Regions from separate parts of the Mus musculus genome. Here region 2 is reported to be linked to region 1. Evidence: microRNA targets listed by miRTarBase, many of them from high-throughput screens and not tested one by one. Region 1 holds a microRNA gene; the other region holds the end of a gene's coding sequence.
What was found. The annotated mature microRNA mmu-miR-433-3p reads AUCAUGAUGGGCUCCUCGGUGU and lies in region 1 at 1,121-1,142, shown strand. An mRNA with a match to its seed (bases 2 to 7 or 8) in the 3' UTR can be bound and repressed. Matches are read on the target gene's strand: a 7mer-m8 pairs with bases 2 to 8, a 7mer-A1 pairs with bases 2 to 7 and ends in A, and an 8mer does both.

Region 2: miRTarBase lists Slc16a7 as a target of mmu-miR-433-3p. Seed matches in the 3' UTR shown: 7mer-A1 at 363-369, 7mer-m8 at 374-380 and 7mer-A1 at 745-751.

The regions. Positions count from the first base shown.
Region 1 is chr12:109,590,661-109,594,434 of GRCm38, forward strand. It overlaps Mir433 (microRNA 433), which reads left to right and starts at 1,055; the gene lies at 1,055-1,178. Rtl1 (retrotransposon Gaglike 1) reads right to left here. Exons shown (of 2, transcript NM_184109.2): 2 at 1-3,774. 6430411K18Rik (RIKEN cDNA 6430411K18 gen) reads left to right here and starts at 877. Exons shown (of 1, transcript NR_002848.3): 1 at 877-2,191. It overlaps Mir127 (microRNA 127), which reads left to right and starts at 2,186; the gene lies at 2,186-2,255.
Region 2 is chr10:125,224,644-125,228,349 of GRCm38, reverse strand. Slc16a7 (solute carrier family 16 (monocarboxylic acid transporters), member 7) reads left to right here. Exons shown (of 6, transcript NM_001358915.1): 6 at 61-3,706. The coding sequence ends at 338. Among named protein-coding and RNA genes, the nearest start is that of Gm46205, 65 kb to the right of the region's middle.

The DNA of each region.
Region 1 (3,774 bases):
GCGCATCCCCCGTGGAGGCTGGGAATGCAGAGCATTCCGATGCCAGCACCTTGGGCCCAGGAAAAGCTCAGCCAGCTCTCGAGCTGGGAGGGTGTTGGCACCCACTAGAGGGGGCATCTGGCTGAGCAACTGAGCGATGGCTGTGGCCATGCCACTACTCGCAATGAGGGTCGAGTCCAGGATGAGTCGGAGTGTGTGCCGGTGCTGAGGCCTGGCCACTTCCAAATTAGGGGCAGGCACTGGGGAGAGGGGCTGCCTTGCTCTCAACATCACCAGGACAGCTGCCACACCCAGGAGACTCTTCCAGTAGAGCAGGCCACGGAAGAAGTTTAGGACAACGGCCCGGATCTGGGCCACACTGAAGTGAGCCAGTAAGCCATTGAGGATATGGTCCATCGGGATGGCAGCCAGTAGCTCCCGCACCATGCTGGGCACCTCCTCATCTTCTTCCTCCTCATCCTCTTCTTCCTCATCTTCCTCCTCCTCTTCTTCCTCCTCTTCCTCCTCCTCCTCTTCTTCCTCCTCTTCTTCCTCCTCTTCCTCTTCCTCCTCCTCTTCCTCCTCATCCTCTTCTTCCTCCTCTTCCTCCTCTCCTTCTTCCTCCTCCTCTCCCTCCTCCTCCCCTTCTTCTTCTTCACCATCTTCCTCCTCCTCCCCTTCTTCTTCTTCACCATCTTCCTCCTCCTCCCCTTCTTCTTCTTCACCATCTTCCTCCTCCTCCCCTTCTTCTTCTTCATCATCTTCCTCCTCCTCCTCTTCTTCTTCACCATCTTCCTCCTCCTCCCCTTCTTCTTCTTCACCATCTTCCTCCTCCTCCCCTTCTTCTTCTTCACCATCTTCCTCCTCCTCTTCTTCATCATCCTCTTTATCCTCAGTCTCAGAGGATCTGTCAAAGTACCTTAGATTTGCCCTAATGGACATAAGCAGCAGTGGGCGCAGAAACCTTGCTCTGAAGCCTCTCTGGTTCCAACATCTGCGGAAGAGTGCTTGTGTGTCACCTTCAGCTGGCATCTCCATAACACCAAAATTGAAGTGTGAGAAGAAGAAGACCCAATGCCCGGGGAGAAGTACGGTGAGCCTGTCATTATTCAGAGAGGCTAGATCCTCTGTGTTGAGAAGGATCATGATGGGCTCCTCGGTGTTCTCCAGGTAGCGGCACCACACCATGAAGGCAGCCCGGATTGGAAGGATCCTCATCTCCACTCGAGGGTACTCCACCTCCATTGTAGAGAGGGGTCTTGAATAGAAAGCACAGGTAGATTTCTTGCCAGTTTCGTCGTCGGTTTGGACCAGGGAGGCAGACAGGAATGACCCAGTGATGTCTGTTTCCAAGTAGAATGGGTTCTGAGGCTTAGGGTGATAGAGAACGGGCGACTTGCGGAAAGCCCTCTTCAGGGATTCCAAGGCCTCCTGCTCCTCTTCTCCCCAGTAGTAGGGCTCTGAACTCAGCAGTTGTCTCACTAGGGGTGCTGCGATGACAGCGAAGTTCTCCACGAAGTGGCGATAGGGATAGACAAGGTCAATCACACTTTGAAGACACCTCCTGCTGCCAGGGACAGGGCACCCCACGATGAGGTTCATAAGGTTCTTGTTCAGTTTCACCCCTTTGGGGGATATGTTGAAGCCCAAGATTTCAGCGGTCTGGCGATGGAACTGAGTTTTGTCCAGTGAACAGTAGATGTTGTGATACCGAAAGCGGACCAGGACTTGGCGGACATGCTGGGAGTGTTCCTCCTGGCTCATTGAGTAGACCAGGACCTCTCTGCCATGGCAAATCACAAACAACCCTAGGATGTCTTTTAGGATGAAGTGAACAATGTTGTTCCCTTCGTCAGAGTATGAGTTCATTGTGAAGGGCCGGTAGCATCTCATCTGGTGAAGGCCGAAACCGAACGATGCTCTCCAAGTGTCTTCCGTGTGTGTGACCGTGTGCCTCATCTCACTTTCCTTAATCCCAAGCAGCTCCAGTTTTGTGAACCATGCCGCTCCATGTAGCTGGTCGAATAGCTCTGGTACCATCTGCGTGTAGTCTTGTCTGTCAGTCAGCATGTCATACAGTATCCAGTATTCCTCTTGCTCCCTGGCTTTCTCTTGCTGCCTGGCTTTCTCTTGCATCCTGGCGCTCACAGGTTCCAAAGTCTCTCGGGCCCCAGACTCGTAAAAGACGCCGCTTTGATCACTGTCTCCAGCCTGCTGAAGCTCAGAGGGCTCTGATTCAGAAAGATCATCGGATCCGTCTGAGCTTGGCTGGTCGGAAGTCTCATCATCTGCCTCCCTCGGGTTAAACACGTCGGCCAGGTCTGAGTATGTGTGTGGCAATCCGGGCAGTAGGCTTATGCTGTATGTCTCTAGTGCGATGCATGGTGGAGGTGGGGTGAAGCAATTCCGCAGACAGTAGGGAGAGTGGAAGGTACACCGGCCTCTCATCCAGTCGACTTCAGGGGCATGGGTTCGGAGCCACTTCATGCCTAAGACGATGGAGAAGTTGGGCGAAGGTAAGATGTCAAATTCGATGTACTCATAATGCTTCTGGTGGACACATACCAGGGGCTCGGTGCACAGCCAGACGGGTTCATTGCCAATTGGGATGCCATCCACACCTTGGATTATCTGTGGATAAGGCTTCTCATAGAGTTCCACATAGTGTTCCTGGGCAAACCTCTCATCCATGTAGTTCCCTTCTGCTCCTGAGTCCACCAGGGCCCGCACTGCGACACTGTGGTAGGGGTCCACTCTCACCAAGAGCAGTAAGAAGAGGTGATCGCGATCAATGTCTGGGTGGAACTCATTGGGCAGCCAGCTGCTTACCCTCCACTTCTCTGGGGCGGGAGCATCCATCCAGGCTACGCTTCTTGGGCGCGACTCAGGTGGCAGCCTGAGTAATGCTCTTCTCTCTGCCAGCTTTTCTTCAAGTTGCAGGACAAGTACAATCAGGTTGTCTAGGGAATTCGGCTGAGGGATCCGGAACAGATAGTGCCTGATCTCTTCGTTGAGCCCCTGGCACAGGTGGGCCTGCAGGACTTCATCTGGCCAGCCTAAGGTGGGTATCAGACCCCGGAACTCATTGATGTAATCGGCCGCACAGCGGTTCCCCTGCCTGATGTTGAACATGGCGTCTTCCGCCACACGCAGGGTCTGCCGATACTCAAACTTTTCTGACATGGCCTCCAGGAAGGCTGAGAAGTTGTTTATCACTGGGCTGTTCTGCTCTACGAGGTCGTTGGCCCATTCCAAGGCTAGGTCAGTCAGGTGGCGGATGACGAATTTCACCCGCAGCTCATCATTGTATAGCATACTTGGGTAGTTCTGCATTGTCATCTGGCAGAGCACGACAAACTCATGGTAGTCTCTGCGATCTCCAGAGAAGGGCCTGAGGGAGGGCAGGCGACCTTCGTTGATAGCCTGCATCATGAGCCTTTCTGCCACTCTCTGTTGTTCTTTTAGGTCTTGCATCCGGAGGAACAGCGAGATGACGTTCCCCATGGTGGCCACGACTTCTTCTGGAGAGTTCTTGGGCTGACCTTCCTCTTCACCACCTTCCTCTTCCTCCTCTTCCTCGTCATCTCCCAGGTCAGTATCATCTTGGTCTGACTGGGTCTCGGATGAGTTGATTGTTTCATCCATGCTATAATCGGATGCCTCACTGAGTGGTTCCGACCCTTCCTGGTTTGAAATATCACTTGACTGGTTTGAACTGTCGCTTGACTCCTGGTTCGAATTATCGCTTAACTCCTGGTTTGAATTATCACTTAACTCCGGGTTTGAATCATAGCT
Region 2 (3,706 bases), not on the chromosome of region 1:
TCCGCGAGACCACCTCATCACCTTATCATGCCTTCTTAAAGGGTGTTCTTTGTTTCACAGGTAAATTGCTTGATATAACTGGAGAATATAAATACCTGTACATAGCCAGCGGAACAGTCGTGTTAGTATCAGGTACTTACCTCCTGATTGGCAATGCTATAAACTATAGACTTCTCGACAAGGAAAGGAAGAGAGAGAAGGCAAAGAAGAAGAAGTCAGCTTCACACGCGTCCAGAGAAATGGAGGCCCTGAACAGATCTAAACAGGACGAAGTTACTGTCAAAGCTTCAAACGCACACAATCCTCCCTCAGACAGGGACAAAGAGAGTAATATTTAACAAGTCTCATCGCCGAATCAGTGTTCATGAATTTAATCATGAGTTTCTTTGTGTGTGTGTGTGTGTTTTTTTCCAAAGAATTGCAAAGGATTTTAGCTGCAACAAAAACATCGCAAACAGTAACAAAACTGGCATCTTCCTCAATGCCATAGTATAAATTCATGCTTTAACATTTGTTGGGATGGTCAACTCTTGAGATGGTGCACGTAGAAAACCCACGCACTTGCTCATCTGCGCACCTGAGTTGTGATGAAAACAACTAATTTTTTAAATCTTCCACCGATTTTTACTTTTAGCTGCAGAATTAGATCTGCATTCCAGACCTTGGCTCACCTAAGCACAATTCAACATTAATTTCACAAAATGACTCTCTTGAAGGTTCATTTTTTTTTCATTTGATATTAAGTCATGAAGTGAATTGAGGACAATCATTTTTTTCTTTTCAACACACAAAGAATTACACATGTATCTACGAAAACACTGAGTATCGGGAGATCATAAAGAAATAAATGGATTTGAAAAAATTATTATCATAGTCATTCTTAAGTCAAAGGAAAACTCTGGGAAGCAGGAATATGTTATATTTGCGTACAGTTTTGCAGTGTGGATTAAAATTAACTGTACGGTGGAAAAAAAATCAGTGTTATTAGCTCAAAGAAGGCTAAAGGGAAAAAAATCTACATGGATAAGTTTGGTTAAAAACAAAACAGAACTAGTTTTTCACCATCAATCTGCCATACTTGTGCCAGTTTAATCTGCACACCTGTCTACACAGTTTCTTTGAGAGGTCACAATTAGGGCTGGGTGCTAGACAATAGAACCCCTCCATTAATTTCCAGAATTCATATCTAACACATAACTTGATTTAAAATGCAGAGACACTGAAAAATCGGATGAATCCATGCTTTAGAAGCCTGCTAAGCAATGATGTACATCTTTCGATGACTTTTTAAAATGGGGGCTTAATGCAGATTTAATGGGGTGCTGAACTATCCAAGCCAAATAAATGAGAAGAGCTGACATATTCAAGTAGACTAGATTCTGTTTTTCCCTCCAGCACAAAGTAGTGACATAAGCTTGATCTCATGAGTAATTCATAGGTGTGGAACTGACAAGACCAGGGGTCATTCCTGAGCCCTGCTAACAGGGACTTATAATTTATAATTCTTTACTACAATAAGCAAAAGCAAAAACCAAACCCAGACCTTGAATTCCATCCCAGAAGACATCTCTTGTTATACAAGGAGGGGAAACACTTGAAAATTCCGCCCTCTACTGATTGGACTACCCACGACTGAGAATAGAACAGAAAAGCTGGAGTGTGTCCCCAGGACACTTCTGGCAACATAAGCTGTGGGGACTGACAGACATGTAGTTTATAACACAGTAGCAACATGGCAGAGAATTGTTGTTCAGGGTACTTTAGGAGTTTGCTCATTTTCCAAACCTAAAGTGTCTAGAAATCAATCTCATTCTTACAACACTCTTTGAGAGGTCTGTGACCTCCTATTGTGTACATAACAGCTAAAACTAAATATTATATGTCTCATGTCTTGTTTTATTTTCTGATAAATAGGGAGAATTTTGTGCTTTATTATTGAAGTCACTTTTACAATGTCTCTTCTTCTTCTTCTTCTTCTTCTTCTTCTTCTTCTTTTTCTTCTTCTTCCTCTCCTCCTCCTCCTCCTTCTTCTTTTCCTTCTTCTTCTTCTCCTCCTCCTCCTCCTCTTCCCTCCTTCTCCTTTCCTTTCAATAGAAGTGGGTGCTATTCTTATTTCTTAGGATCTATTTAGACACCACATTTTCAGGGTATTGTTAAAGTTTTGATTTGCCCATAACAATTATACACTACTTCATACAGGTGATTTTATAGGTTCATATTTAGGGAGCAAAGTAAGATTTGGATTTTCTTCATTTTTCAATTTTTCAATTTTCAATTGCTTTCTTGAATATGAAGTTTCTAATTTTCAGCTATTCAATAAAAACAAGATGTGCCAATATTGTAGAGAAATTAAGCAGGGCAATATGTGGCTCGATATGAATTTAAAGAAAAGTTAGCCCCACCCAGTCTTTTTTTTTTTTATAGTCCTGGCTGTCCTGGAACTCACTTTGTAGACTAGGCTGGCCTCAAACTCAGAAATCTGCCTGCCTTTGCCTCCAGAATGCTGGGACTAAAGGCATGCGATGCCACCACGCCCGGCTTCTGAATTACCTTCTTTATATGATTCCTACCTTCGTGTTCACTCCTGTGTGTCCAAAGAAGTCATCCTAGTCAACCATAAATGCTTCTGATAAGAATTTCTTGCACTCTTTGAAAATACCTTTAGAAACTAATATAGCTATCAGACAACAGGAGGAGAGAGGCAGAAAGGCAGTAAGCTTGGGAACTGTAGTCGAAGTCCCTGTGGACCACCACCAGTGTGAGGAGATGCTGTCAGTAGACTCCAGCGCCTGCCTTTCTCCCTGGGAAGTGATGTCACATGCTGATGCATCAAATCAAAACCAAAATGTACTCCTCTCCTTGCTTTTCAGTCATCTTGATTTGCTTAATTTGTCTTGGTCATTGCATTGATATTTTTTAAGAGGGTGGAAAGATTGTAAAGCACACAATCTGTTGTGTAGAGTCATGCTACAAACATGACATGATAAGTGTGTACATCTGTAATGAATAGGTCCTAGGTTAAGCCGTGTCTCACTCGAATCAGCAACAAAACCATAATAGAAAAGAATCCATTTGTTTGCTTGTATTTGTCCACTGCACCTGTTGAAATATTTGCTGCTTTAATGAAGCCTTTCAAAGACCGAGGAAAGACTACTGACCTAACGTGTGTGTCCCTAATTACCCAAGTAGAGGGGAAAAAAAAACCAAACCTGGTTTGCAACTTTAATACTGAATACCTCCCTGCCACCAAGGAACAACAGATTTTAGATGTTTAAGATAAGAAACTAGCTTGGTACCATTAAAATGCCCACTATGTCCTACTGATCACTTCAAAGTTAAAGGAACTAGAGTACTCACAAGTTACAATCAGTAGCTAGCTTACATATTTTGTCATTTGTTGTTAAACATCCCATATTTTTTGCTATTTAACTATTATCACCCATAGACAGATAAATGGGTATGAACTTGTCTTGGCCTAGTCATTTCAGCTTCTTTTTGAAGAGGCAATGGGCTAGATAGTAACAGTAAAGATATGATGTTTTTAGTGTAAATTCACATGGCTCACAGACTTCCCCTTTCTGTTCTGTTCCAACCATCTTCCCTCACAGGGTCACATGCTCCACCCAGACAGCAGGAAATAAGTAAAACAGTTCAATTTGGTAAATTCAAAAGTATGCTGTAAAGACGTAGCCTCTCAACTCGCTGC